6 linked regions of the Macaca mulatta genome follow. The protein of the gene in region 2 interacts with the protein of the main gene of each other region in a pairwise test. Links are inferred from orthologs where the notes say so. Each region holds a gene or a part of one and is shown on either strand. Other genes may lie near its edges.

Region 1 (4,894 bases), on a different chromosome or scaffold from region 2:
GCTGGAGTGCAGTGACAATCTCATAGCTTGCTCCAACCTCAGACTTCTGGTCTCAAGTGATCCTCTTACCTCAGTCTCCCTAGTCTCTGGGATTATGGGTATGCACCATCACCCTCAGGTCTCTGCTTTTTGGCTAGTGCTATTTCTTCTGTGACAAAAAATGTCCATGATATTGAAGAGTAACTTTAATAAATACACACACCACTTTTTTTTTTTTAATACTCACAATTGTGTCAAAAAGTTAAGTCATATCTGAGTGTGTGATATGGTTCAAGGTCAAATAAGGGGATCCAGGAATTTATTTTCTGTTTGTATACTATCCAGCCATGCTAATTAAATCACCAGCAAAATAAGGCAGGCGTCTATGTCCATTAGATGATGTGTATGCTGAACTAATGTATTATCATGTGTACATGTTTCGAGAGAGAGAAGCTAAGTGCTTTATTTTCTTTTTTTGTGTACAGGTTTCAGCAAGCAGATGGTGGAAATTCTTCACAAACATAATATTCAATTTAGCAGCTTTGATATCTTCTCAGATGAAGAGGTTCGACAGGGACTCAAAGCCTATTCCAATTGGCCTACCTATCCTCAGCTCTACGTTTCTGGAGAGCTCATAGGAGGACTTGATATAATTAAGGTTAGAATTGAGAAGTCTGTGCTTTGTAAATAAATTCCATTTAGAGCATACTTTTTAAAGTGTGATAAATCTAAGATACAAATTTCTTATGAATCTATATTTACTAATAAGAACCTGCAATGAATACACAGTATTTCTGATTAGTTGATTGATCAATAAGCTGTGTTATGGTGTGATCAAGGAGATTTATGTTATAATAATTTTTTTTTATAAAACTGACATGTGTGCTTATTTTAGGAGCTAGAAGCATCTGAAGAACTAGATACAATTTGTCCCAAAGCTCCCAAATTAGAGGAAAGGTAAGTGTTTTGGAAAGTTTTAAATAGTCTGTCATTTAATATGTTAAAAATATTTTAAAGTCCTCAGGTTTTGCATTGCTCTTTCTGTGTAGAAATCAAGGATTTGGTATTTGTATGCCAGAGGTCATAATTTCATTGTTTAGTCAAACTAGCCATGCAAACTTTGGCAAATCTAATTTGGATTGGAGAAATTTTAGCACCAACTTAATGATCATGTGGAGGACCTTCTTTGCTTTTATAGAAATGTCATTGTTTCTGTGGAACAACCAAATTTTGCTTACCTCTCTGCATTTCAGAGCCAGGGTCCAGTTGTCTTGTCACTGCTCCTTGGCGTAACCTCAGCACACTCGTGTTTTCCTGGGTGCAGCCTTGGTGACTGCTGCGGGTGCTGCCCCAACGCCAGAGCACTGAGTGACAAGTGGTGAGTGTGAAAAGCTCATCACCTCGCAACAAGCTTTGGGCACTTCTCATGGCCTTTCTAGACCACGAGAACTTACATGAGCAGGTTTTGGGGCTGTGAAACATGTATTTGTTTTGTCAAGGATCTCACTTGGCTTTTGGAGAAGTTCTCTTACAGAAACGTTGGACTTTGGTGTATAAGGCAACTTAATAGGATTTTTATTGCAGTAAATGTGAATTAATATAGAACTTTAAAGAGGAACTTACTATATCAGCAATCAGCCATTCATAGGTTGGGGCTGGAGATTGTAAGATAAACCTTCCTTTGGTAATTTTTTTTTGCCATGTAACATCTTGAGAATTTCTAAAAGTGTGTAATAATAATAATTACCTCATTTGTCTGTTGTTAATTAATAATTTCTATAAATAATGTTCCATTCCACGTATGTAAGGCTGATCTTTGAGTACTGCATTCTGTCCTGTGGTTTGTACCATTTTCTGCGTTCTTCGTGAGAGAGTGATGCTCCGCATCCCTTTGTTGACTCTGGGCGTCTTCATGTGTGGTTCTTGCCTGTAGCCTGGTGATGCCCATGGCCCATGGAGGCTGTGTGTTCTCCAAGGACAGCTGTGCTTTTTATATGCTTGTATTCGCTGTTCAGTTGATTTTCCTTCTCTGCTGAGTACACTTGCTGCTGTTAATGGCCTTGTCTCCATTGGGCCTTTGTTTTCCTAAATGTGCTGTTTCTAAATCTGTGCTTGCGGACACTGAAAGGTAACTGGCTAGAATTATGTAGAAAGTAAAATTCAGCATATTTTGAGTAATAATTTAAAGGGCTCCTAGTGAGCAGAGTGCAGGAAGTGGAGTTCATGGACTTGTGACGTGTATTTTGGCAGTACATTGTGAGCTGTGGTTCCCTGTATCCAGGTGGCTGGGTTAGTTATTGGGTTGTCAGGGTCAGCATCGTATTCCTGTATCCATTCATATTTTTCTGAACTTGAGCTAATCCCACTCGGTTGGCAATGTAAGTGATACAGCTTTGTGCATGATTTATGCATTTCATTTGGGATTCGTTTATAAGGAGATTTTTGAGCCTTGAATTGGGAGAACATGGTGGCGTGACCCCATGGAGCTTAGGTTCTTTAGTGACCTGTCGTCCCAACACTGACTTTTCCTGAGATTTGTGACTAAACTTGTGGCTGTATACAGATAATTAAAATTTCTGATAACATATTAGATTATGATGTTGGCAATACTGTATAAAATATAATGTTAAGATGAAAGTATTTGATTTTAGCATCTGGCATTAGTTGATGTTCTGAGGTTTAATGCTGTCACCCTGCAGTCTGACCTTGTGAGCTTTACACGTGTACAGTGGTGTGCAGCATCATGATGGAAGATGGTGCTCACAAGATCTAGTTCTGGAAGTTTTGGATGGGCTTAATATATAGGCCCCTTATTGAACAATTCCTTACTGAATTGGTTGTTATTATTATTTTTTTATTACTGTGAGTTGATGGGCTTAAATTGCAACTTGAAGGAACATTCTTTGCCTTAAAAGCCATATTGTGTTTTACAGTGGCTTAGGGAGAGAATGAAATCAAGGAAAATGTCAACGCATTTGCTTGTTTAATACCACTCAAAGCTGTGAACTGTCATCCTGCCATCCCTCAAATATGCATGTTACTCACGAAGCGGAGGAAAAGTGGTGTTGCATAATTGAGCTGAGCCGTTTTATATCAATTTTCTCTCTTTAGGCTCAAAGTGCTGACAAATAAAGCTTCTGTGATGCTCTTTATGAAAGGAAACAAACAGGTAAAGAACTCAAAAATGGTTTTATTTGTAATTTCTTTTGATGTTAACATCTGCAACAAGGGGACAGTTAAATCTCTTTTTCCTAGCTTTAGCTAATGAAGCTGTAGCGGTATCAGGAAGTTATCCAGGCCTTAATTGGTGCTTACGGAGATCAAACAAAGTAATCTACATTTTGCTTGACTTTATCATCAACATCTCAGTGGGGTGCATTTCTTTCTGCTGCCAAACTTTGTCAGCTAACGTGGTCAACACTGTTAACACTTTACTGGTTGTATGAGTTGTTATTTCATTATCCTTTGTTGGAGTTTGTGGACTGCTGGAGTGTGCAGCTGAGTCACTGGACTTCCTGAATGCAGGGAACCTGGTCGTGCTTGGGTTTGCACCCCTAGATCGTCCTTTTGTGACAGTGGAGGAGCAAACCCTGGCTGTAGCAGGTGTGCTGTGTGTAGTGTTTGATGAATGAGTGAAATGGTCAGCAATTCTCATTTGTAATGGGATGGTTCTTGTAGCTTTTTGACGAAAGTGCATATTGATTGTGCGTCATTTTGAATATCAAGTTTGATAGATTACTTCCACTAATAGTTTGAGCAGAACTAATTTTCTTTCAGATTGAGATCAGAGTGGTAATTTCCAGAAACCAGCCATACACATTTATGCCATATTTTGTAGTTTTCATAGCAATTGAACCTCTATTTAATTCTCAATCAGTTGTTGAAGTAGGCAGGGTTGGACAGAGTTTGGCCTATTTTAGAGATAAAGAAACCAAAGCTTTGAAAGGTGAGGCTGTTGGAATAAAGAAACTGCCTCACTTGTTAGCCAGATGCACTGGGCAAGTGACACAGAGAACCACTTTGCCACTTTGCTCATTGGGAAAGGGACTCAATACTTCTTCACAGGGCAGACTCTGGTTGCCATAACTAGTGTGTAAGTTACATAACTAGTATAATGAAGCTAATTAGTTAACATAACTAATTGGTTAATATAATTAGGTAATGAAAGTAACAGTAACAAATAAAATGTTAATATAAATTTCAGCATTTTGGAATCACTAGGTTAGATCCTAAATTCTTTGGTTTTGCTTCAGTGTATTGAAACAATAGAGGAAGTTAATAATTCCTAGTAATGATAAAGTGACATTTTTTTCTTATTCTTGGTAATTGTTTAAGCGGATATTTATTCTCAAAACTGTTTTTTTCTGGAAACCTAGAAAGTTTTAATACATTTTGGAAACAGTGTTATTAGGGCTATTAAAATGTTTACATGGTACCGTATCTTTTCCACAAGATTGCTGGAATTTGGAGTCCTGTGGCATGAAAAAAGCTTAAGATTTTCATAAACTCAAAAAAGTGTTAGTATTCTGTAATGTAAAAATAAATGAGGCCGGGCGTGGTGGCTCATGCCTGTAATCCCAGCACTTTGGGAGGCCAAGGCAGGTGGATCCTGAGGTCAAGAGATCGAGACCATCCTGGCCATCATGGTGAAACCCCATCTTTACTAAAAATACTAAAAGTTAGCGGGTGTGGTGGCGTGCGCCTGTAGTCCCAGCTACTCTGGAGGCTGAGGCAGGAGAATTGCTTGAACCTGGGAAGTGGACGTCACAGTGAGCCAAGATTGCACTCCAGCCTGGGCGACAGAGTGAGACTCCGTCTCAAAAAAAAAAGAAAAAAAAAAAGGAGTCAGAGTCCAGTTGGAAATGGGAAAATAATTGTCATAATCATTGCAAAAAGACTAAGTGAGTTAAGATCA
Region 2 (4,894 bases):
ATTGCAAATACAAATAGATGCTTTCTAACAAAACATATTATTTTATTTTTATATAATATACTTTTAAAAATAAAAGTATGTTATATAATAAACGGTGGCCGGGCACGGTGGCTCACACCTGTAATCCCAGCACTTTGGAAGGTCGAAGTGTGTGGATCACCCGAAGTCAGGAGTTTGAGACCAGCCTGGCCAACATGGTGAAACCCCTTTTCATTAAAATATAAAAATTAGCGGGGCGTGGTAGCACACGCCTGTAATCCCAGCTGTTCAGAAGGCTGAGGCAGGAAGAATTGCTTGAACCCCGGAGACGGAGGTTGCAGTGAGCCAAGACTGCACCACTGCACCCCAGCCTAGGAGACAGAGCAAGACTCCATCTCAATAAATGAATAAATAAATAAATAAATAAAATGAAAGGGAGAGGGAGAAAGAAAAAGCTATAGATGCTTGCCAAAAATTAAATGGTATATAAGTAAAGAAAGTGATCTAACCTCTAAGAGAGTAAACACTGTTAACACATTTCTTTTTTTTTTTTTTTTTTTTGGAGATGGAGTCTAGCTCTGTCGCCCAGGCTGGAGTGCAGTGGTGTGATCTTGACTCACTGCAACCTCTGCCTCCCGGGTTCAAGTGATTCTCATGCCTCAGCCTCCCAAGCAGCTGGGATTACAGGTACCCACCACCACACCTGGCTAATTTTTGTATTTTTAGTAGAGATGGGGTTTCACCATGTTGGCCAGGCTGGTCTTGAACTCCTGACCTCAGGTGATCTGCCCGCCTCAGCCTCCCAAAGTGCTAGGATTACAAGCGTGAGCCACTGTGCCCAGCCTGTTAACACATTTCTTAAAAAAAATGACCTGGAAGATTTGAAAACAAACAAAATAGAAGTTTTAAAAATGAAATATTATTGTTCAAATTGTTTTAAAATTGATGATTGAAATAAAAGATTAGATACAGCTAAATAAATAGTGAACCTGAAGGTATCCAAAAAGACCCATATAACAAGGAGATTGAAATACAGTTTGAGTATCCCTTATCCAAAATGCTTGGAACTAGAAATGTTTCAGATTTCAGATTTTTTCAGATTTCAGAATATTTGCATTATACTTACCAGTGGCTCACACCTGTAATCCCAGCACTTTGGGAAGCCAAGGTGGGTGGATCACCCGAGGTCAGGAGTTCCAGACCAGCCTGGCCAACATGGTGAAATCGCATCTCTACTAAAAATACAAAAAAGTAGCCGGGTGTGGTAGTGAGCACCTGTAATCCCAGCTCCTTGGGAGGCTGAGGCAGGAGAATCGCTTGAACCTGGGAGGCGGAGGTTGCAGTGAGTCGAGATCATGCCATTGCACTCCAGCCTGGGCTACAGAGAGAGACTCTGTCTTAAAAAAATAAAATAAATAAATAAATAAAAACTAAAGACTACATTTTTCAGGGTTACATACATACATTTAAAACTATGGAAACAAAATAAAAGAGATATTAAGGATCGTTATTAAGCTATGTTTTCTGATCTCGATACAATTATGACAGAAGTAAGAATTAACTCAAAGGGGTAACCCCAAAGTCAAGTATAGCAGTTCCCTAGGGGACGAAGCTGGGAGACAGTAGCAAGTAGAAGTAGCACCAAAATAAATGCAACATTGTCAGTGCTGTTCTGGTTCTTAAGGAAAATAGCCCATTCATAAGTGTTCATTTACACTGGAGACGCGGAAAGGTGGATGGGAGGGTGGGAGGTAGGTAAGGGATGAGAAATTACCTGATGATTACAATGCACACTATCCCATTGATGGCTACGCTAAAAACACAGGCTTCACCACTGTGCAGTGTATCCATGTAACAATGTATCCATGCACTTGCACCCCCAATTATATTTTTTAAATGTTTGTAATTTTTTTTTAAAAGTGAGTCAGATGCAGTGGCTCACACCTGTAATCCCAGCACTCTGGGAGGCCAAGGTGGGTGGATCGCTTAAGCCTAAGAGTTTGAGACCAGCCTAGGCAACATAGTAAGACCTGACTCCACAAAGAATACAAAAAATTAGCTGGGCATGGTGGCACCTGCCTGTAGTCCCTGCTACTTGGGAGGCCAAGGAGAGAGAATCATATGAGCATAGTAAGCCGAGGCTGCAGTAAGCTGTGATCACCCCACTGCACTCCAGCCTTGGCAACAAAGCGAGACTCTCAAAAAAAAAAAAAAAAAAAAAGTGTTCATTTTGTTGTCACCTTTGGACAGTACAGCGGTGGCATTTATAACTTGCATTTATATTACATATATTCTCTTTCTCAAATATTACATAATTTTAAAATACATTAAGCACACACTTGCTCTGTTGTTCTAGAGGTTTAATGTTGTCAAACCTGACTTAGTTCTGTTGTAGTACAGAACTCATCACAGGTGATTAGGAAGTTTTGGGTCAGATGGTTGTAGGATTTTTCTTTACATTTATAGTTTTAAAAATATTGCAAGATGTGCCCAGTTGTAAACAAGCATGTTCTTAGCAGTTATTATAGCAACTTGGTTTGCAAGCCTTTTGGTATGCAATCCAGCAAACAATGTGAAAGTATCATATTCATGTGTTTTTCCCAAAGGCTTGAAGAAAGGAGAACAGCTCTTCTCCTTCCTAAAAGGGCCTAAATGCATATATTTCTCATTCTTGGAGGAGGAAAAGATACATTTCTAATGATGAAATTCCAATTAACTACCACTAACAGTTCCCCTATGCCCCTTCTCTTTTGGTCTCCACGAAGCCCTGCTCCTACTCTGGAAGAAGTCAATGCCTGGGCTCAGTCATTCGACAAATTAATGGTCACTCCAGCAGGAAGGAATGCATTCCGTGAATTCCTCCGAACAGAATTCAGTGAAGAAAATATGCTCTTCTGGATGGCCTGTGAGGAACTGAAAAAGGAAGCTAATAAAAACATTATTGAAGAGAAAGCAAGGATAATCTATGAAGACTACATTTCTATACTTTCTCCTAAGGAGGTATGTGACCACGAAATGCCTTCTCCCAAGGCTGATGGTAAAAGTATTAACTTGGTGCAAAAGCAACTGCCACAGGCCGGGCACGTTGGGTCACGCCTGTAATCCCAGCACTTTGGGAGGCTGAGGCGGGCAGATCACCTGAGGTCAGGAGTTGGAGACCAGCCTGACCAACATGGTGAAACCCCGTCTCTACCAAAAATACAAAAATTAGCCTGGTGTGGTCACGGGTGCCTGTAATCCCAGCTGCTTGGGAGGCTGAGGCAGGAGAATCACTTGAACCTAGGAGGCAGAGGTTGCAATGAGCTGAGATTGCGCCACTGCACTCCAGCCTGGGTGACAAGAGCGAAACTCCATCTCAAAAAACTAAACAAAAGTAATCATCTTTTTTTTCTTTTTTTCTTTTTTGAGACAGAGTCTCACTCTGTCGCCCAGGCTGGAGTGCAATGCTACGACCTTGGCTCAGTGCAACCTCTGCCTCCCGGGTTCAAGTGATTCTTCTGCCTCAGCCTCCAGAGTAGTTGGATTATAGGTACGCACCACCACGCCTGGCTAATTTTTGTATTTTTAGTAGAGACAGGGTTTCACCATGTTGGCCAGAATGGTCTTGATCTCTTGACCTCATGATCCACCCACCTTGGCCTCCCAAAGTGCTGGGATTACAGGCATAAGCCACTGTGCCTGGCCTCGCCATTACTTTTAACTTTTTCCAGAAAAATGCACAAAAGTTTTCACAGATTTCAGAGGACACTTGGAGCCCTTCTGCAGGTCCACAGTCAAAGGGATCTGCATACCGTGAATGCGGGTGCAGCTGTTTTCTACATTTTGCAGTTGCTGTTCTGGGTCAAGCTGAACATGACCAAACAGCTGCACCCTCATTCACAGCATTCAGATCCCTTTGACTGTGGACCTGCAGAGGGGCTGCAAGTGTCCTCTGAAATCTGTGAAAACTTTTGTGCATTTTTCTGGAAAAAGTATCCCCTGGAGTCTGCATTTGATGGTGAACACTGTTTACAAACATTACACCCTAAGAAGTTCCTTTAAATAAAATTATCTTGTTATTCTGAGAAAAATATTGTCTTTAGGTATCTTGATGTTACAGGGCAGCAGCATCACAGATGTGATACTGATGCGGAAAAGGTTTTCCCCAGGCTGGCCTTTTCACATTCAAGAAATTATCAGTTGAATGAGATTGGGCAAGTTTCCACCTGTCAGAGTTTCAGTTACTTCAGATCTAAAATGTAGGAGGTCAGGCCTGGCACAGTGGCTCACTTCTGTAATCCCAGCACTTTGGGAGGCCGAAGCAGATGGATCACCTGAGGTCAGGAGTTCGAGACCAGCCTGGCCAAACACGGTGAAACCCCTTCTCTACTAAAAATACAAAAACTTAGCCGGGTGTGGTGGCGTTCACCTGTAATCCCAGCTACTCAGGAGGCTGAGGCAGGAGAATCGCTTCAACCTGGGAGGCGGAGGTTGCAGTGAGTAGAGATTGCGTCATTGCACTCCAGCCTGGGCAACAAGAGCAAAACTCCACCTCAAAAAAATAGTAATAACAAAATTTAGGAGGTCAGATTGTTCTCACAATTGGGTGCCCTGCAGCTCTAATTATAAAACTATTGGTTATTTCCTACTATGTGCTGACAGGAATGTCAGGTTGAAGAAGCAGGGCCTCTCCTGTCATGGAGCTCCTGGAGATGTGGGCAGACAGACCAGGACCCCTGGCCACACGCTCAGCACTCACTGGGGCTCGGGGGTGAGCCATCCACAAACGGGTGGGTGAGAATGAGAAAAATACTCAAGGAGGCTACAGATGGACCAAGGATAGTGAAAAGGAAATTTCCACAAACACAGCAGGATGGCGACATCCCAGGAGACAGGCCCAGGCGAGCCCAGGAGAAGAGCATGAAGTTGTGCCATC
Region 3 (5,620 bases), on a different chromosome or scaffold from region 2:
TAGCATTTTACTGAGTGATTTGGGCTTGGGAAAGGTCAGTGGCAGGGCACCTGTTAGGTCATTATTGCAGTATTTCAGGTGAGAGATAAAAAGTCTGAGCCCAGGCAATAGCAGTAAGAAAAATGGGAGTGGTAAGGATGGGGGAGGGGAGCAGTAAACCGAGGGGAGGGTAAGGAACAGGTCTCAGGTAAAAGCAACAGTCCTGGGTGACCAGTTAAACATTGGGGGAGAGGAAAAGAAAGGAGATGAAGTTGCCGCCAGAAAGAGTGGCCTCAGGAGAAACAGATTGTACGGGGATGGGGATGGGGTGGGATGGGCAGAATATATCAGGGAAAGAGTATCCTTGGTATTGGTTTGGTACAGGTGAGTGGGCCTGAATGACAGTCACGGAAATCCCAAAACATGATATAAAAACTAATGAAATTTGAAAGGTAATAAACATGAAAGAAATGAAAAATTTGGATTTATGGGGGATTTATTTGGCTTCTATTGGGGAATGATTAAGACTGAAGCTAACTACTTGGAAGTTATTGGCATAAAAATGGTATGTGAGGCCAAAGGAAAGGGTGAGGTGAGCCCAAGTAGAGAGGCCAACTTTAAACAACAACAGAAAAACAAAGAAATAGGACACAGAGTTAAATTTGAATGTCAGTTATATGATGAATAATTGTTTAGTGTATTCCATGTTTGGACGTGTTTAAGACATACTCGTCCTAAAAATTATGTATTATTTATCTGAAATTCAAATTTAACTGGGCACCATGTATTTAATCTGGCAACCATAACAGGGACAGGACACAGAAATATCGGCAAGGACCAGGCAGGCCTTTCAGATGGTGAGGTGATGTGTGAGACACAGGCCGCTGGCGGAGGCTGGGTGACCCAGAACACCTGTCGCTCATTCTCAGGAGCAGCTGCTACCTACTTCCCACTGATTGGGTTTGCAGAGATGGCCTCGAGGGTGTCTGATATTCTGATATTGCAAAACAGAACAAAAATATGTATTTTAATGTGTATTTAAAATGTATATATATTAAAATATTTTTAATATTGATATTAAAAGTGGTCAATTGGGCTGAGTGCAGTGGCTCATGACTGTAATTCCAGCACTTTGGGAAACTGAGGTGGGAGGATGTCTTGAAGCTAGGAGTTTGAGACAAGCCTGGGCAACATAGCGAGTCCCCATCTCTACAAAAATAAATAAATAAATAAATAAATAAGTCAGGTGTAGTGACTCATGCCTATAATCCCAGCTACTTAGGAGGCCGAGGCAAGAGGATTGCTTGAGCCCAGGAGTTTGAGGCTGCAGTTAACTACGATAGCACCACTCCACTCCAGCTTGGGTGACAGAGTGAGACTCTGTCTCTATTTAAATAAATACGTAAATAAATAAGCTGGGCAAACAATGAAAATGAAAACATTGTGAAATACAAAGCAGTTCTGTGGGTTCCACTGTTTGCAGCCTCTGATCTAATTTCTAAAGAGGGTGTAGCAGGTTTTTTAACCTGTAAATTATGGTGATTGGCAGGTCAGGGTAAATGGTAGTTGTGTGTGGGGAAGCGATGATGGCAACAGGTGTTTTCCTCCTGCAAAAACGAAAATGTGGGAGTGACTTCTCTGGCCATGGCTCCATGGTCTCTCCCCTCAGAGCCAATTTCAGTAAAATTTTTATAGTTTAAAAAATATGGTTCTGAACAATTTTTGTTAGAGTTATTTTGGTATTTTTAAATAGTTTTTTGGTCGTATACATGGTAGAATTCTTAACATTATACAATTGTAATGTATAAAAAAGGATACAATTATAATTCATAAAATTATAGCCCCACTGGCCATTCTCCTGTAGCTGGGAGCAGTTCACGCCAACAGGGCTCTACCCCAATGCTGACCTGCTCTACAGGATCCCAGGAAGGTGAGCATAGCCTACCAACCTGTTTGGGTAGTACAGCGATAGCAACTGAGGCTTCCAAGGCTTTCGTCAGAAGATTGTGGGCGGAAACTTCCAGGGGTTTGCTCTGAGCTTCTTGAGGCTTCTCAGCTTCAGCTGCAAAGTGAGTGGGTGTTTCTTTGAGAAGCAGAATCAGAGAGAGACATAGAGAAAGAGAAAGACAGAGGTGTTTCCCTTAGCTATGGAAACTCTATAAGAGAGATCCAGCTTGCCTCCTCTTGAGCAGTCAGCAACAGGAGTCCTGTCCTTGACACCTCAGCCTCTACAGGATTGAGAAGTAAAACCGTTTGCTGGGGCTGGCCTGACTCACCGGCTGCCATGCAGCAGCCCTTCAATTACCCATATCCCCAGATCTACTGGGTGGACAGCAGTGCCAGCTCTCCCTGGGCCCCTCCAGGCACAGTTCTTCCCTGTCCAACCTCTGTGCCCAGAAGGCCTGGTCAAAGGAGGCCACCACCACCGCCGCCGCCGCCGCCACTACCACCTCCACCGCCACCACCACTGCCTCCACTACCGCTGCCACCCTTGAAGAAGAGGGGAAACCACAGCACAGGCCTTTGTCTCCTTGTGATGTTTTTCATGGTTCTGGTTGCCTTGGTAGGATTGGGACTGGGGATGTTTCAGCTCTTCCACTTACAGAAAGAGCTGGCAGAACTCCGAGAGGTAAGCCTGCTGGCAGACTGCTGTGCCCTGGAGGCACCAGGCATAAGGGGGTGGAGGGCCCACTGCCTGGCTTGCAAAGTGCTTTTCAATCCTTTTTTTTTTTTCTTAGAAATGGGTTGTTCTAGTTATTCTATTCTATAGGCAGAGAAATGGAGGCTCATAGGAGTGAAGGGAATATTTTTTATTTTGTAAAGAATCAGAGCCCAACAGTTTTTCTTTCCTCAGTTGTCAACTCAGTCTGTTGAACCACTTACTGCCTCATACCTAGTGATTTAAGGAGTAAAAAACAAACAAAACTTTTAAGTTTTGCTTGGAAGTAAATTTGTTCAGATGACCAAACTAAATCTTGAAAATACTTAAAATACTGGTACGATTTCAAATCACAAAACTGAGGGACAGTGAAGCAAAATTGCTTGACCAAAGCCTGAGTCAGCAAAAGTTCTGAGGTATTTGGATTCTCTTTCCAGGGCTTGGTTTATTTGACGATTCTGTCTCTTTTGCTTAAATAATTTTATTTTTATTATGCATCTTTTTTCTTTCTCTTTTACTAGTCTACCAGCCAGAAGCATACAGCATCATCTTTGGAGAAGCAAATAGGTGAGTCCTTTTTCACATGTACATTGAGTTCCTAAAGATGATCCTCAGCACTGAAATATGTTAATGGAATGCCTTATATTCTGTCCTACACTTTGGCTTATGTATACTATGAGAGGAATCCTGGCTAATTCGGAATCTCTGGTCAGTATGATTCCTTGAGCTGCTTTATAAATGTGAAGTGAATTGAATTGCTCACAATCAATATAGCTGAGCACGGCACACAATTCAAAATCACTTCCGCTTGACTTTGGAAAGAGACACACATATACAACCGTGGACTTTTGCCCCCTGAGCAGTGGTTCCAGGCCTGTCCCCTTCCACAGACACCCTGGTCCTGGCACACATGCCAGTGGCTATGACTTCTGGGAAGAGAAGGCGAAGTGAAGGCAGAGACAGATGTTTCTGAGAAACGTCCTCTCCTCTTTTAAAGCCTCTAAAGAGATTACAGTGAAACTTTATTTACAAAATGTTTTATAGGACGTAAGCTTTTAAAATGTGGCTAATCAATTCCGTACATTAGAATGGTTTTTCTTGAAGTCACTGAGAAGCTGAAGGGAAGACTTCAGCCATCATTCAAAGGATGTTCAGCTTCAGAGGCAGTCATGAGGTACCCTTGATCACAAAGGAAAATCCTTTGTATGGGAGCTAGGGCAAGAAGACGATATGTTGGAACACTGATCTCGTGAAATTTCAGGGCATAGTTTTGCAAGCTCTGTACAGATGGATTTTACAATGTGCTTCACTAGCCTAAGATTCATTGAAATTTTAGATTTAGATTTACAATGAGATTCACTGAAGGTTTAGAGTTGGAAGGAAGCTTAGAATATCCAGTCCAGCCATTTCATTTTTTTGGAAGAGAAACAAAATGCCAGACGGATTAGGTGAATATGCCCAAGACCCCTAGTATGGAACTGGGGCTAGAAGGAACACAGGCTCTTGATGCCTTGTCACCTACAGGGCTTTCCGGTACTGGACTGGTGCCTCATGAAGTAGGGAAACTCCTGTCTCTCTGTAGTGAGCATGGAGTGAGAAATAGAGGAAAAGCAGGATACCTCTGCAAAGACTATAGATAGATCGCATCCTTAGAAACTCAGAATAAAGAAGAAGGCAGCACTGGCCATCTATTAAGTGAAGTAAGTTTCAGTTTCTCTGGATGTGGCTACTGCAGGCAACCCAGTCGCCTGTCTACTGTCCTAGACTGTTAAGTTCTTATAGGAGCCACTGTTGGGAAGCTCTGGCCCCTGAGTCTGTGTCCTAATCCTTAAATGTTAGAAAGTCCATATGTACACAAGCAGAGTGGAAATATTTGCTAGAAAAATAAAGCCTCTGGAGGATGTCTCAAATAAGATCATTTTGAAAACCTGTGGAATGTGCCTGGTCTGATAGGTACCTAAGCATTCATCTTTTACCTCCTCTCTGGAGTCAATTTAGTGATTAAAAATCAAATGACCAGACGAGTCATGTCCATCTACCCCAGTAAGCAATTATCTTCTCTAGATCAACCCAGATGAACCAGAAATTGTTAAATTATCACAAGGAAATCAAATCAGTAACTTTACTAATAAGAAAAGAGATGCAAACTAAAAATAGGGAACACCAATTTTCATCAAATTAGTAAAGTTAACAAAAACCCAGACTGACAAAGATTTGAAAGAAAAGTGCTGTTTAAACATTAGTTTCAGCCAGTATACATGTAAATTGCTATAACTTTTTCTGAAGAGCACTTTAGAAATACATATCAAAAGCTTGAAACTAATAGTTTATGTTGTAATCCTATCACTAAGAATTTCTCTTAAGAAAATAATCAGAGATGTGCCTGAAGATTTATATATAAGGATGTTCATTACTCCCTTATGAGCCTATTTATAATAAACAATCCAGAAGAAACTTGAATGCCTCATACTAGATTAGTTATATACATTATGGTGTATTGAAACAAGCACATAATAAGCAGCAACTAAAAATGATGTATCAGAAGGACATTTAATGCCTTGGGGATTGTGCAGTGTGTATTGTTAGATAAAAAGACAAGTTACAAAAGGATATATTTCGTTTCATACTGACTATGTAACCATGTATGCACGTTTTTATATTCTTAGGAACTAGAAGGTTCTACACACTGACATACTAACAGTGATTTTCTCTGGGAGATACTACTATAGATTATTTATACTTTCTAACTTGTTCCTTTTTACATTTTCCATTTTTTTCCAGTTAGCTAATTAAATCTTTTATTCATTCACATGCGTGAGGCTAGATGTTGGGTGTTGGACGCTGATCGAGGATGAGCCAGCCCAGGGGACCTGTCCTTATAGAGCTTTTAGCATGGTGAAGAAGCTAAACAAAAGCAAGCAAACAGACCATACAATTCCAAAGTTGTACTAAGTATAAGCTGAGAATCCTTTTTAAGGAGGT
Region 4 (3,614 bases), on a different chromosome or scaffold from region 2:
TGGCAGCATACCTGATTCAGGTACAAAAGTTCTTTCTGGGCTGGGCATCGTGGTACATGCTTACAATCCTAGCATTTTGGGAGGCTTGAAGTGGGAGGATGGCTTGAGCCCAGGAGTTTGAGACCAGACTGGGCAACATGGCAAAGCTGTCTCTACAAAAAATACAAAAGGTTATCTTGGTTTGGTGGTGTGCACCTGTAGTCCCAGCTACTTGGGAGGCTGAGATGGAAGGATCACCTGAGCCCGGTAGGTAGAGGCTGCAGTGAGCCATGATTTGTGCCACTGCACTGCAGCATGGCCGACACAGTGAAACCCTCTCTCAAAAAAAAAAAAAAAAAATCTTTCTGGTCCCATTTATAGCAGATTTCCAGAACTTCAATAGCATGGTCTACTGGTGGGCCTTGTTGGAAGGAGCTGTGTGCTTGATTTCAGGCTGTTGGGAGGTGGTGTGGTATGATGGAAAGCACCTGAGCCTTGTGACAGGCTAACCTGGGGCTCTGCCGCCTGCCAGTGAGGATCAGCAAAAGTGACTGATACCTAATGCTGTTTTCTCAAACTAAATGTATTATGAAGTTTAAATAAGAAATTACATCAAGTGCTGGCTACAGCGGGCACTCTAAAAATGGAGTTGCAAAAGATATTCAACCCCAGCAAAAGGCTAGACACTTGTTCTAATACCATGTCAGGGAACAATACTGTAGATAATAGTGATGATCATTTTCAGCTTTATAGTACTCAAGTTTCTTCAAGTATTCCAGAGTCAAGTTCTGGATATTAGTTTCTGGAAACAGGCTCCAAACTAGATTCTGCCTGTTAATTTGTCATGATTGGCAGGTGGGATGCTTTAAAAATATTTAGGAGAAACAAATACCCTGTAGTCCATCATCATTTTGTAACCTGAGTTACAAAATGGCTCCCACAGAGCATTTTCTAAGTCATGTGAATAGCTAAGTTTGGCCTTGTGTTACTGTGGACTGGTGTGTATGTATGTAGTTGAACGATACTAAAATTTCGGTCATAAGGACTCTGCTGGACTCAGGGTCTCAGGAGGGTATTTTGTACCCAGTGAGAATTGAATTAGCAAGCTAGAAATCTGTATTTTCTTGGTTCTGTTCAGTTCTAAACCAATGAGTATCCTTAGGACATGTTAACCCTCCTATTTAAATTATGAGTACTTGTTTTTCTAGCCATGGTGACAAGTTGCATAAAAACATCTACTGCAGGCCGGGCGCGGTGGCTCACGCCTGTAATCCTAGCACTTTGGGAGGCAGAGGCGGGCGGATCACGAGGTCAGGAGATTGAGCCTGGCTAACACGGTGAAACCTCGTCTCTACTAAAAATACTAAAAATTAGCTGGGCGTGGTGGCGGGCACCTGTAGTCCCAGCTACTCGGGAGGCTGAGGTAGGAGAATGGCGTGAACCCGGGAGGCGGAGCTTGCAGTGAGCTGAGATCGCCACTGCACTCCAGCCTGGGTGACACAGCGAGGCACTGTCTCAATAAAAAACAAACAAACAAAACATCTATTGCATACTTGTTCCTAGAAGTTCTTTTAACCAAAAGCCCAGCTCGGAGAGAATGTGGAGTAGGCTGAGGCAGTCTTGAACTTAGGACCTCAGCTTCTCATGTGCAACTTTCTTTTTCTAGGATTTGGCAGAGCAAGAATTGGGTAGAAAGACTGACTTTCCACCTGGCCTGTTGCATAGTATTGTGAGACTGGCTGACTGCAGTGTTTACAGTACTCTCCCATTTATAATACAAGAAGCATGATTTTTAATGCCTCCAAAATGGAGTTTCCAAAGAAATGAAACTCTCGAAGTCCTTTAGCACCTGCTCATGTGTCAAGGGCACGTTGACACCTGCTTTTTTTTTTTTTTTTTTTTTTTTTTTTTTTGAGACGGAGTCTCGCTCTGTCACCCAGGCTGGAGTGCAGTGGCCGGATCTCAGCTCACTGCAAGCTACGCCTCCCAGGTTTACGCCATTCTCCTGCCTCAGCCTCCCGAGTAGCTGGGACTACAGGCGCCCACTACCTCGCCCGGCTAGTTTTTGTATTTTTTAGTAGAGATGGGGTTTCACCGTATTAGCCAGGATGGTCTCGATCTCCTGACCTCGTAATCCGCCCATCTCGGCCTCCCAAAGTGCTGGGATTACAGGCTTGAGCCACCGCGCCCGGCCTGACACCTGCTTCTTTCTTTCTCTGCTGATTTCTCAACCCTGTACTTCAGGTGCACAGATGGAGTCCAGAGGAGGCTGTAAGAGCCATCGCCAAGATCCGGTCTTACATCCACATCAGGCCTGGCCAGCTGGATGTTCTTAAAGAGTTCCACAAGCAGGTTACTGCAGGGGCAGCAAAGGATGGGACTTTTGACACTTCAAAGACATGATGTATGTGGATTAGAAAGAACTCAAGACATTCCCGCTTGATACAGAATAAAAAAAGCTTAACGGGACCCACAGGGCTTAAGCCCAGACTTGACATAACCAAAATGTGCCAATAGGTAATAGGTAATTTTGCTTTCTCTGTCTTGTTTCATTTTCTTGAAATAACACTGTTGTGTGGCTAGAAAGGAAAAGATTTAGTGTGGCTTGTATTCATGGGATACAGGACAGGGATGGGGCCATCTTCTTTTCTTGAATAGAGCTAAAGAAGTATTTTAACAAAAATCTATTATTATGTACCTAATATTGTGCCTAATAATATTTAGCACCACAACTCAAAAGACTTAGCACTAGAAAAAAGGAAACTCAGCTCTGGGTCTTTGCCACTGTCAGAATCTGAGTCTCACTGGCCCTGTGGAGTAGGGATCCTGTCTGGAGAAGTGGGAGCATGGGCGCAGTCAGGACTGCTGCAGACTGAGCCATGTGATGGTACGTAAGGAGTCCCCCTGAGGGAATGAAACACTCTCGCCCCTTCAAAGTCACCCCTTCGGAATTCAACACAGACACACATATCCCTTCAAAAACTTTTATTTGTATCAACACTTCCTAGCTCTTGACTTAGCTTAGAGCTTTTAAAAGAGCAGACACCTTACATATTTGAGTTTGAAAAAGTTTCTGCTATTAATCAGAAATAATCATTTCTATTTTCTGGCTTACCCCTTGGAATAAGCCAAAAATAAAACCAAAGTTACATTTCCTGACAGATGGATGAGAAAACAATAGAAGGAACGTCCTGAATTCTAGAGTTGACTCTTGCTGGTGAAGTACACCTTCAGCTTAGTCCATACTCCTAAGTAAAGCCCGAAGGAAAACTCTTAACACCTAATTCTTTGTGGAAAAATGATCAACTAGCCATTTCATAGGTTATAGAACAAAAGTACAATTGGGCATCTTTCCTTATGTCCTGGGATCAGGGGTGCTTATATTTAACATTGATCAGGTAAAGAGGAGAGGCTGTGCCTAAGGTCTGAGAAACAGCTTGCTCTAAAGCAAGCTGTGGTGAGGCACACAATGACTAGGGGATGGCAGAGAACAGGCTGGCCTACTGTCAGTTCAAGCAACCAGCTGAGCAGCAGCAGTCTAAAAAGCCCCAAACAGAACACCTCCATGGGTTCAGGGAAGGGCTGAGGCACTGCCTTTCTAGTATGTGCCAAAAAATACATTACTCTGAATTGGG
Region 5 (5,454 bases), on a different chromosome or scaffold from region 2:
TGGAGGGCCAACCCCCGCACACAGCGGACTGGCCCGGACTGGGGCAGCGCCGGGCTATGGACGCAGACGCCGACGATGCGCACCCCGGGACGTCCGCATGTTCTTTTCCCCAAAACTAGTGCGCTCTAGCCTGCGCCTTTCCTCGGAACCTAAGGCGAGGGTATATTTCGTTGCTTTCTTTAAACCTCAGCACGATCACAGTGGCTCCGAGCCGCGGGTGGCTGACCGCGGGCCTCGTGGGCTACTCCTGGTAGGGGCCTGCGCGAGCCTAAGGTGTGTGCCCGCCTGGGTTAGCGCTGCGCTCTGCGCTGTTTCTTTTCCTCTTAAAGCTTCTTTCTCACTCACTCTCTCCCTCCTTCTCTCTCTAATTTTTTCCCATTTCTCTCGTTCTTTATTCAGCTTTCTCTCCCTTTTGTGAATGGGCCGCGGTGTCTTTGTTCTGGAGAGAAGCGCCCGTGTCGCTGACTTTTGTGAACCAGAGAAGGATCTTGTAAAACCTCCTTTTCTCCTTCGTACGCCCCAACTCCCACCCCTCCTCCCCTGCCCCTTTGATTAGATGTTCCCTCATCGTCCAAAAAAAAAAAAAAATGTAATTTCGTTGGTCTGGCGGCCACTTTCTTTGAACATTAGCTCGCTTTCAGCTCCAACTTCAATTAGAAGGAGTTGATTTTGAGAGATCAACAAAAGAACCGACCAAAGCCTTATTAAAGGTCCTAAGAAGATCTCCCGGGTCCTTTGAGAAGCAGTTAAGGAAACAGTGTGCCCTCCATCATATTCTGTTACCGTATTTTATTCGGACTCCAAAGGAAAGTGTCGCTTGGGGGAGGGGGAAGCACTTTGATGAGCGGCGGCCGCGGCCCCTTTTCACTCAGCGGGCTCCCCCTTCCTTCTCCTCCTCCTCACCCAGCGCCCTGTCTGCTCTCCGCGCCCGACCCCGCAGCCTGGGCAGCACGGGTGCTCCCCACTGCGATGCGCCTGGAGGCTCCTTGACTCGCCCTCACACTTACTCCTGTGCAAACTTTTTACCCCGCCTGTCGGGGTGGGGGAGTGGGGGAGATTAGAAACAAGGGGTAGAAATTCCTCGAAAGGGAATAAAGTGCCTAATTTTCAGAAGGAGGTGCCATTTAAAAGATTCTCCTAGCTCAGAGTTGGAACGAAAACTCTTTTTTGCACTTTTAAAAGTCCACCCAGGCAGACGTGTTTGGGAAGTTTGTTCCACTGGGAAATGGGCTTCGCCCGTACGAACAATCCGGGGAAATCGCCTCAAGGAGGCTCCTTACGCAGCATGTGGAAAAAAGTTGAGGGCAGGGGTCTGTGGCCACATTTTCCATCAAAAAGTCCCTGTTAGAGGCAGACTAGGAAAGAGAGAGAAAGAATGAAAAAGAAACTTTCCTATCAAAATGTTTGAATTAAGAAGTAGGGTGTACATGTGAGGGCAAGAGGACGCTGGGCTCCAACGTTTCAGAAGAAGCGCTTAAGGCTTGCAAACACCCTTGGTGGGGACCGGGAACCCCGGGAGATGCCGATGAGCAGGTAAGTGGCTGTGCCCTCCCAGTGGGTGCTCTTCCCAGGCGCGAGAGTCCCGAGGCGCCGAGGAGAGATCTGCACGCCCGGAGCTGCTCCCGCGCTCTGCAAAGTAGCCTGCGCCGGCACGAGCCGCCCGCGGCGTCGGTCTCAGGTGGCGGTGCAGAGGAAGAAAACGCTGGGGCCCGCGGCGCCAGGAGAGGGGCCGAGGCCCGGGCTCCTCCAGCCCGCCGCCCCCGGGTCCTGGCGCCCACACCCGGGCGGCTGAGCCCGGTGGCGCGCAGGAGAGCGAAGGAACCGGTTCTCCAGCACCTCTCCTCGTCTCTGCCACTCCCTCCGGAGCGCCGAGAGCGCGAGAGAAGGGCGGGGGCGCCCAGGGAAGGCCTGGAGACCCGCGGCCCCCTCCGCGGCCAGGACTCGGGCTCTCCGCTCGCCTTCCTCGCCTAGCTCTGAGCCGCTTTTGCCAGCCGAGTCCCGGAGTTAGCGCGCGACCGGGGCGGGGCGGGCGGGAGGGGAGGGCGGGGTGTGGGGGGCGGGGGAGGGCGGGGGCGCGCGGAGGTAACCCCCGGCTCGCGCTGCCATTGCCCGGCTCCCTGTCACTCAGCCCGCGCGGGGCCCCCGATTGGCGGCCTAGCCCCGTTACGCACTCGCCTCGCGTTCACATACCCGGGGAGGGCAGTAGAAAGGTGATCAATCTTCATCAGGCTACATTTCCAATCACCTAAACAACCGAGCAAGACAAGCCACTCCGACAAGGTAAATCGCTTGATTTATTTAGTTTGCAAAGTGACTCTGCAGGACTTCCCAGTCCCCACTGCCTCCACGTTGCACCGGCAGTGCCGCGGTAACGCCGAGCCACCTCCCAACTCTGCCCTCGAATTCCCCCCCTTGCGGCCCCTCGGCGCGATTCCGGGCGAGGCAATGTCCTGCCTGAGAACGTGTGGGGCTTAGCAAACAAAGTGTCTGTGCAATAAAGTGAAACCCAGAGGGACACGCACAAAGCCACTGAAAAAAAAAGATAGAGGTGGGAGGAAGGAAGTTGGGAAAAGAAAGAAACCCGGGGTCCTAGACCAGCCGCCGGGGTAATTCCTGTGCCGCTCTGTTTTGCAGGTTGGCTGCCCGGCGGGTCTCTGTGAGAGATCCAGGTAGATGGTGAACGTCCCCGGCAGCTGAGGGCAGGTAAGGAGAAAGCCGCGGGACCATCCCGGACTCCGGGAGCGCGTTGGTTACCCTTACCTCCCCCTCCTCAAATGGATCCCCACTTCCCCGGTCACCAGCAGGTGGGCGGGGCTGGGGGAGCGGCCTAGCTCCCCTCTTGGTGAGCCGAGGACCCCGGGGCGCTGTCGCGGCCCGCCGCTCCCTCCCCCGCCTCCTCCGAAGTAACCAAGCTGAAGTGCTAAGTTTGGAGAAAGTCTTTGAAAACTCACGCTGCAGCTTCGCAAAGCCGTCGCAGCTTTGAGTCCCATTTTCCTTCGGCCCTAGAGCCCTGGCTGCTTCTCTTCTCGTCCCCTTCCTACAAGCTGGACTCCCTCAGCCCAGGTCTTGGATCCCAGAAGACCGGGGTGGGAACGGGGCAGGGGGGAGCTTCTTTAGCTCTAACTTCTCTCCCTGAACGTCCTAGCCCGAGTCCCTGGCCTGCTTCACAGCGATCCCGCTAAGCGGGGTGTAGCAATGGCCCCCCAGAGCCCCAGGCCCAGTTTCCAGCGCCCCTCCCTGACCCCTGAGAGTGCCGCCCCGGGTTCCTGGCAGCGGCGGGGGCGAGGCTTCCACCTCCCAGCTCGGGTCTGCGTGGGCTATGCCGCTGAGGCCTACTTCTCTGTTCTCGACAGTGTCCTGGGGCCGCGGGTTCAGCTACAAGGATGACAGCACGGGACTTGCTGCCCTCCGGCTTTGCAAATCCCCGAGACCCTTTGAGGTGCTAGGTCAGTCACCCTTCACCCCCTGCTGGGACCCTGTGGTCCGCAGCACAGACTGGACAGAGAAGGCCGGGTGCGCGCTGGCAACGAAGGACGCTGGCCGCAGCTGAGACGCTCCCGACCTCAGGCCGCGTCTTGGGGTCGCCCCCCTCTACAGTGGCCTCTTCGGCGTCCCCTGGCCCTCTGCGAGGCCTGGGCCGGTTACTGCGGTTGAGGTGTGGTGGGATTTCGCGTCAGCGATCTTTCAGTGGCTGGGCACAGAGAGGTCAGCTGGAATGGTGATTGCGGGCTCTGGGGCAGGGGCGCAGCCCTGGAGACCTTTGAAGGAACCAAGTGTCCTAAGTGGACAAGAGGTTGAGGTGCGGTTAGCCCTCCACATTGCCTCACCTTGGCCCTTTGTAGTCTCTACCTTTTCAAAAACACGTGAAACAAAATGAAACAACCCCTCATGCTCCGGGAGGCCTGCCGTCCCGGCACCAAGTGAACGTTTGCTTGTGCAACATGAAGCTGGCTTCTGCCGGATTCAGAATTTTGCCTGGACTTGGGAGCTTGCACACTCCGCGGTTCTTGCTCTGACCTCCCCAGCCTGGCCTGGCTTTGACTTCTCCTTACTCCTATGGACTCCCTACCAGTGTCTTTGGCTCATTCCAACGCTGGAGCCAGACGACCCAGAAAACTTTACTTTTCAAAGCAACTGTGGTTTCTGGGCTAAGGCCTTGTGGATTCCAGTTGACCACCCTGCGCAGTTCTGTAACCTGCCTTCCCTGTCTATCCTGGGGCAAGACTTGGCAGCCAAGTGGCTCCGATTGATGGTTTCCGTGTGTCTCGTGTCTTCATAGGCCAGGCCCCCAGACGCATCAGACCCTGAAGGACTGCGGTGGGAGCCCTGCACCGCTTCTGGCCCCAGGTCCCCTGGATCCGTCGGGGCGCCTCCACCCAGCTGTTAGCATGATGTCTTACCTCAAACAACCCCCATACGGCATGAACGGGCTGGGCCTGGCTGGGCCCGCCATGGACCTCCTGCACCCATCCGTGGGCTATCCGGGTGAGCACCAGCCCTCCCGACCCTGCTTCAGCCTCTCCAATGTTGGGGCCCCCCAGACTGTTGGGTTTGAGTGCAAGCTTTGTTGCCGAGCAGGCCCAGGGAGTCAGCTATTGCAATACAGGGCCCACTGCCTGTTTACAATACAGGGCCCACTGCTGGCGCACGGGGCAGAGTCGTGGGCATGTGAGGTGGCCAGGGCTGAGAAAACGCGCAATGTGCGCCTTCCTGGCCGGGTCACCGGCAACCTTTCTCCTGTTGTGGTCCCACCACCAGCGCAGAGCTCATTTACCTGCGGATTCGCTACCCAGGGGCGGCTAGTGTTTTTCCTTTTCCCCCAACATGGAATGAGTAATCTGGACACTCGTTAGGCCCTGACAGAAAGAGCCAAACTTTCCTTATGCGAAGCGGCAGGCTGGACTGAAGGAGTATTCTTCCTTCCTAATTAAATTGTCCTCTAAATTGATGTCCTGCATCCATTTTTGCACTGCTGTAGAGGACGACCTGAGCCAAACCCGGGGTTCTTTAGCTCCGGCTCCTTTACCCCATTTATTTTCTCCGAAAGTGTTTTTCAGGTCGTGTTTCTGCCTACCTCTTCCCCACTCCCTGTCCCCTAGCCAGAGAGAGAGAGAGAGAGAGAGAGAGAGAGAGAGAGAGATTGTGTGTGTGTGTGTGTGTGTGTGTGTGTGTGCGCGCGCAGGGGAGGGGGAATGTGGAAGAAGGGAGATTGTAGACTTCTCTTACTTTTTTTTAACCTCTGAGAGGCATAGAGAGGGGCAGCCCTTGAATCTTGGAGACACTGGCTTCTAGTCGCACATCTGCACTTTCTCCCACCTGTGGCCTCTCAGGCTCGGCCGCCCGAGGGAGTGTCTTTTATTCCCAGTTCGGCTTTCTCTTGCGAAGGCCGAGCTCTGGGCCTGCCAGGGGCCTGCCTGAGTGCTCTATCGCTGGTCCGCGTGGCCACCAATGACC
Region 6 (5,676 bases), on a different chromosome or scaffold from region 2:
GCCCGGCCTGCGGGGAGCCGGGAACAGTAAACGGAGGAGGGCGGCCGCGGGCCTGTGTGTCTGCGGGCCTGTGTGCGAGAGTAAGCTCGTGATCCCAAGAAAAACACTCCACCCAGGATACCCCCGAAAAGAGGCCAGGAGAGAAGAGAGGCTGAGGGAGAGCAGCGCCGAAGCAGCGAACTAGCAAAGGGAGAGTGGCTCCTGCCGGGGTCGGCTTTGTGGCAGGCGCCCTGCAGCCGAGGGGGTCCTGCAAACCCAGGCTGAGGAGGGCAACCAAGGTACAGGAATGAGGCAGCGGGGGAAAATGTACTGACTTGCTCAGGCTTGGAGGAAGGATTGCTCTCATAGCCAGCACCGACCTCCTCACATCCTGCCCACTCCCCCACAGGAGCTCTTTCTCTCCCTGCCGCTGGAAGCTGGCGCTCCCAAGGAAGCCACCTCCAGGAGGACCGCCTTGCCTTTCCCCTTCTCCAGAAGGATGATTCCCAGGATCCGAAACTGGGGCAGGGGTGGCTGCCCAACCCCAGGAAGCGGCTCTTTCCTGCCCCTGCTCCCTCTTAACCATGCTTGGAATGGATCAAAGTCACAGAGAAATACCAACCTGAAAGGAAATGTTTGGGGAGAATGTTTCATTGTTACTGAGGGAGTCCAGAGTCAGCATGGGTTTTCCCTCTTGAGGGGACAGGTTTGGGGGAGCTTCAGTAGGTGGAGAACAGAATACAGAAGACTGAAAGGGTGACTAACATATTTGAAATGTGCCTGCCTTGAAAAAAAAACCTTCCTTGTTCTAACAGGGGAGGAAAGGCTGAAGGTGAGTGGAAACCCCAAACCCACATACATTCCTCACTATAAATTCCATCTGATTCCAACATTGTACACATGGTTGGAGTAAAATTTATACAGCATTGGCTGCAAAGCTTCCTGGACGAGCTCTCGATTTCTCCTACCCAAGACTGCATCAATTATTGGTCTCCGTTTGGCTTTTTCCTCTCTACAAGCCCAGGGTTGACGTGAAACCTAATAGTAAACAACAATTAACGACCTCAGCAGCGTCAGGGTAGAAGGAGGGTGATGGGGAACAGGACCCTTGGCCTGGGATGACGCTCAGATTTTCACGTGTCTCTCTAAGGAAAGACTTGAAGGTTCTCATAAGCAACTACCCAGCCAGTTGGAAAGGGGAGGAGGTGTCGTTGGGGTAAAGTGTTCTGTCCACCATCAGCCATCTGTCCACCGCTCCTCCCACCTGCCAGTCCCCGCACCCACTCTAGACGCGCAGCAGAATGAGGAAGGTTACAAAAGGAAGCTCTCTCTCTCTTCTAACATTCCTCTCCAGAAAAAGAGGAACGCAACGAAGGGAGTTCAGCTACTTTGTTGGAGCTGTGGACCGGCCCTGCGAGGCCCACGCGGGAGCGGAGGCTCCTGGGTCTCGGGCGCCGGCAGATGGCCTGCAGCGCACGGCCCGGCCCCCACGCTGGCCACGTCCGCCAGCGTCATCTCTCTCCCCCGCCTCCTACCCCTAAAAATCCGGCGGTCGAGTAGCTCCGCATCCCGGAGGGCTCCCGCTGCAAAACTGAGTGGGAAAGAAACGGCGGAGAGCGAGGAGAGAGGGAGGGTGGGGAAGAAGAGCCCGGTCGCCCCCGGCCTTTTCCGGCAATCCCTGTTTCCAGGGCTCTTCCGCACCCCCCCTTCCCCGGTCGAATTACAGAAACTCCTCATTGCCATGCTAATGAAGAGCGGGGGCTGTGGGGAGAGGGTTTCGGAGACTCTCCTGGAAGAAGGGAAGTTTCTTTTCTTGCCCTCGTCTCCTTCACCCCCACCCGAGTTCCTCCCACCCAGCCCTCTGCGCTCTTCCCTCTCCATTCCGCGCTTGGAGAGCCGGTGGCCCAGCCTCGCCCCCTGCCACGGTTCTGTGCGCTCCTCACAGCCCCATGGTCTCCCAGCCCAGCCTCAGAGCAGAGAAGGCGGCCTGGGAACCCGGGGCTCGGTGTCAGCCGGATTCCCCGCCTTCCGGTTGGGCGCGCTCCGGGCTGGGCCCGCGAACCTGCGGCCACCCGGCGAACTCCGGCCCACTAACTCGCGCCCCGAGAGAGCCGGGAGCCCTCTTCCCTTCTCACCTCTCGCCAGTTCATCTTTCAGTGCACAGTGGGGAGGGGGCGGGAGCGGGGGACGCCTCTCAGCCCCCACCTCCCGGAGGCCTGGCGGGGCGGGCAGCGGAGTCGGGCGCGCGCAGAAGGCAGCCTTTGCTCTTCTTCGCTCCAGCACTCCAAATCGGCCGTTGCAGTCGCCGCAGCAGCTGCCGCCGCCTGGGCTGCCTGGGGGGGCGACTGCGCGTCACCTAGACGGCGGAGCGCCGGGGATTTAAATGCCACTGAAACGGTGATCCATCACCGCGGAAGCCGGCAAACTTTTGCAGGAGGCTCAGCCATTGGCTGACACCGTCACGTGCCCCTCCCCTAGCGTCCTCCGCCCTCCCGCCCCCCCCTCTTGCGCACTGTACATTCATATCATTTTTCTTCTCAGGCCCCATGGAGGAAGTGAGAAAGTTGGCACGGTCACCCAGGGCTTCGCAGGACCAGGTCACTCAGTGACAGATGGACAATGCAAGAATGAACTCCTTCCTGGAATACCCCATCCTTAGCAGTGGCGACTCGGGGACCTGCTCAGCCCGAGCCTACCCCTCGGACCATGGGATTACAACTTTCCAGTCGTGCGCGGTCAGTACCAACAGCTGCGGCGGCGACGACCGCTTCCTAGTGGGCAGGGGGGTGCAGATCGGTTCGCCTCACCACCACCACCACCACCACCATCACCACCCCCCGCCGGCTACCTACCAGACTTCCGGGAACCTGGGGGTGTCCTACTCCCACTCGAGTTGTGGTCCAAGCTATGGCTCACAGAACTTCAGTGCGCCTTACAGCCCCTACGCGTTAAATCAGGAAGCAGACGTAAGTGGTGGGTACCCCCAGTGCGCTCCCGCTGTTTACTCTGGAAATCTCTCATCTCCCATGGTACAGCATCACCACCACCACCAGGGTTATGCCGGGGGCGCGGTGGGCTCGCCTCAGTACATTCACCACTCATATGGACAAGAGCACCAGAGCCTGGCCCTGGCTACGTATAATAACTCCTTGTCCCCTCTCCACGCCAGCCACCAAGAAGCCTGTCGCTCTCCTGCATCGGAGACATCTTCTCCAGCGCAGACTTTTGACTGGATGAAAGTCAAAAGAAACCCTCCCAAAACAGGTCAGTCCTGGGGGTTGGTGGATGCTCCTTGATTAATCTGGAAGGAGCTGGTATGCTTAATTTCCAAGGAAAATTAATAATTATCTTTTTTTTTTTAAAGGCTTTAAGACTAGTGTTGTAGTGCATGGAGAGGGTACCCAGAGGTGTTGGGGCAAAGAAGCCTCAGGGATTGGCGTGTTCTCAAGGATTTTATACATTTGGGAAGTAGGAAGTGTGTGGGGGTGGTTATTGTGACGGTAGTGTTCTGTTAATATCTTAAGGCTCCATTAATCACCGATCTGACCACGCTAATGGTTGACTTCAGGTTAACACTTTACACCTCATCACTCACCCTCCACAGCCCGATTTGTGTTGAGTTCTTGATCTTTTCTTTACCTGAGTGTTGCCATGAAGTGTGTAGGTAATCTCAAGTCGGTTTAAAAATTTTTACCTTTCCATCTCATGGCTTCCCACTTTGCCCCAGGGAAAGTTGGAGAGTATGGCTACCTGGGTCAACCCAACGCGGTGCGCACCAACTTCACTACCAAGCAGCTCACGGAGCTGGAGAAGGAGTTCCACTTCAACAAGTACCTGACGCGTGCCCGCAGGGTGGAGATCGCTGCATCCCTGCAGCTTAACGAGACCCAAGTGAAGATCTGGTTCCAGAACCGCCGAATGAAGCAAAAGAAACGTGAGAAGGAGGGTCTCTTGCCCATCTCTCCAGCCACCCCGCCAGGAAACGACGAGAAGGCTGAGGAATCCTCAGAGAAGTCCAGCTCTTCGCCCTGCGTTCCTTCCCCGGGGTCTTCTACCTCAGACACTCTGACTACCTCCCACTAAGGCGGCTCCAGTCCCAGACCACAGCCCAGGCATCTCCTTGGGCTGGGACTTCTTACCCAAAGCACATGCTTAGCTTATCTTTCTTTCCATTTACAGTCTCTTCTTTTCTGATCCTATCTGGGGAGCTCCTGGCCAGGATAATATGTTTGCAGATAATTCTGGACCAGAGACTTGGTGCCGGGTTAACACCTTAATCCAGATTGGGTGCCAGCACACATTTTCTGGTGGGCCTTAACATCCCTCCTGATTTTAGGAGAATTCACAGAACCTACTGTTCCTTTCAGATGACTTTTTGGAAAATAGTTCCCTTTACCAACAGAAACATGCCAGAAGGAATCTTCTCATCTTTTATCTAACTATATGTACAGCTCTCTCCTCCCTTGTCCTTGAAAGTAGGATATAGTGAAAGGAGAGTCCAGGAGCTCACGAAGAAGAGATACACTGTGTGTTTACACAATTAATTCATCCCTTAATTTAAGTCATTTTCATGTGTGTGAGTTTGCTGGTTGTGAATACTTTGTCCTAAGAGATTTATCTTTATACAGATTTTCTAGAAATGTTTAGGTTACTAAAACAGGGTGGGCAAACTCTCAAAACTGGCACAATTTTATAAGTGAAAGAACAAATTTCCTCATTTAAATCCAATCAGATGCCTCAGAGGGTAGCCTCGATTTGTTCTTACAGTTAAGAAGCCCTGCAGAGCACAAAGTTCAGAAATCCAGCTTCCTGTGCTAAGTCTTTCCCAATCCCCACTCCTTTCTTCTTGGGCCACCCTCTGTTTAAAATTTGTGCTGGGTTATTCAGAACCTAAAAGTATTATTCAAACCAGCTTCTTCCTTCCACAGTTATCTTAGTTGGATATAATGTATTTTCAGGTCAATTGTTAATGTGATGGATGGCACAATGAATGTATATTTTGTGTGATTCGTGAATAGTCTTTTGCATGTCGCACAATGTTTGATGTCCCCGAAGTACCACACTGAGTTCTATCAGTTATCCTTTGTGAGCCTATGATATTCCCCATTTCCTGTACAATCATGAACAGCTCTGAGATCCTGGAGAGATATGATCCAGAGCAGAGTTTACGGGTCTTAGGATGTCTGTAATAAATAAATATACTCAAGTTTCAGGTATGCTTAAGCATCCATGTATTTGGCTGGGCTACAATTTGTTAATTCCTACGAAGTTGGCATATTTCATGAGGGGAAAGGGAGAAGGGTGGTAAATATTTTCAAAGAGATGGGCCTTTTCTTGAATAAAAGTTAGTAACAGCTCCTTTATTATAATCAAAGCTCATAATGGAAAAAAAAAGACTGATGAAGAAATTTATGAAGCAGATTTATTTTTGAAACAAACATGGATACTTCCTGGGTCAAGTGCTAACCTTTTCACCTCCAGCTGGATGTTGACATATATATACACAAAACTCCCTTCAAAAGCCAAAACTGTCTTCAGTCAGTCTTTCCTCACATCAGTGAACCAAGAGCTAAGAGATTCACATTTGATTAGCTCCAGTATAAAGTTGTTATGAGGATGGGGCCCTCATTCCACTCCTCTTCCTTCTTTTTGGATTGTCACGCAGAGTTCTAATATATTCCACCCTTCAAATGGAGT

Evidence for each region.
Region 1: the proteins of RGS20 (region 2) and GLRX3 interact in binary tests that used the Homo sapiens proteins (3 or more experiments, as listed by UniProt). The link is inferred for Macaca mulatta from reciprocal best matches to the Homo sapiens genes RGS20 and GLRX3.
Region 3: the proteins of RGS20 (region 2) and FASLG interact in binary tests that used the Homo sapiens proteins (3 or more experiments, as listed by UniProt). The two-hybrid records come from large-scale screens. The link is inferred for Macaca mulatta from reciprocal best matches to the Homo sapiens genes RGS20 and FASLG.
Region 4: the proteins of RGS20 (region 2) and PTPMT1 interact in binary tests that used the Homo sapiens proteins (3 or more experiments, as listed by UniProt). The two-hybrid records come from large-scale screens. The link is inferred for Macaca mulatta from reciprocal best matches to the Homo sapiens genes RGS20 and PTPMT1.
Region 5: the proteins of RGS20 (region 2) and OTX1 interact in binary tests that used the Homo sapiens proteins (3 or more experiments, as listed by UniProt). The two-hybrid records come from large-scale screens. The link is inferred for Macaca mulatta from reciprocal best matches to the Homo sapiens genes RGS20 and OTX1.
Region 6: the proteins of RGS20 (region 2) and HOXA1 interact in binary tests that used the Homo sapiens proteins (3 or more experiments, as listed by UniProt). The two-hybrid records come from large-scale screens. The link is inferred for Macaca mulatta from reciprocal best matches to the Homo sapiens genes RGS20 and HOXA1.

What each region holds. Positions count from the first base shown.
Region 1 is NC_133414.1:142,208,904-142,213,797, forward strand, and holds part of GLRX3 (glutaredoxin-3), read left to right. Parts: intron 1-464; coding exon 465-637; intron 638-874; coding exon 875-936; intron 937-3,090; coding exon 3,091-3,148; intron 3,149-4,894. UniProt on the Homo sapiens protein: Together with BOLA2, acts as a cytosolic iron-sulfur (Fe-S) cluster assembly factor that facilitates [2Fe-2S] cluster insertion into a subset of cytosolic proteins.
Region 2 is NC_133413.1:64,601,856-64,606,749, forward strand, and holds part of RGS20 (regulator of G-protein signaling 20), read left to right. Parts: intron 1-2,744; coding exon 2,745-2,979; intron 2,980-4,894. UniProt on the Homo sapiens protein: Inhibits signal transduction by increasing the GTPase activity of G protein alpha subunits thereby driving them into their inactive GDP-bound form.
Region 3 is NC_133406.1:30,155,214-30,160,833, forward strand, and holds the start of FASLG (tumor necrosis factor ligand superfamily member 6), read left to right. Parts: upstream 1-2,221; 5' UTR 2,222-2,263; coding exon 2,264-2,608; intron 2,609-3,159; coding exon 3,160-3,205; intron 3,206-5,620. UniProt on the Homo sapiens protein: Cytokine that binds to TNFRSF6/FAS, a receptor that transduces the apoptotic signal into cells. Involved in cytotoxic T-cell-mediated apoptosis, natural killer cell-mediated apoptosis and in T-cell development.
Region 4 is NC_133419.1:18,021,384-18,024,997, reverse strand, and holds the end of PTPMT1 (phosphatidylglycerophosphatase and protein-tyrosine phosphatase 1), read left to right. Parts: coding exon 1-20; intron 21-2,223; coding exon 2,224-2,382; 3' UTR 2,383-2,559; downstream 2,560-3,614. UniProt on the Homo sapiens protein: Lipid phosphatase which dephosphorylates phosphatidylglycerophosphate (PGP) to phosphatidylglycerol (PG).
Region 5 is NC_133418.1:61,712,074-61,717,527, reverse strand, and holds the start of OTX1 (homeobox protein OTX1), read left to right. Parts: upstream 1-2,212; 5' UTR 2,213-2,280; intron 2,281-2,634; 5' UTR 2,635-2,703; intron 2,704-4,279; 5' UTR 4,280-4,388; coding exon 4,389-4,485; intron 4,486-5,454. UniProt on the Homo sapiens protein: Probably plays a role in the development of the brain and the sense organs. Can bind to the BCD target sequence (BTS): 5'-TCTAATCCC-3'.
Region 6 is NC_133408.1:101,250,884-101,256,559, forward strand, and holds HOXA1 (homeobox protein Hox-A1), read left to right. Parts: upstream 1-2,199; 5' UTR 2,200-2,591; coding exon 2,592-3,243; intron 3,244-3,706; coding exon 3,707-4,062; 3' UTR 4,063-5,191; downstream 5,192-5,676. UniProt on the Homo sapiens protein: Sequence-specific transcription factor. Regulates multiple developmental processes including brainstem, inner and outer ear, abducens nerve and cardiovascular development and morphogenesis as well as cognition and behavior.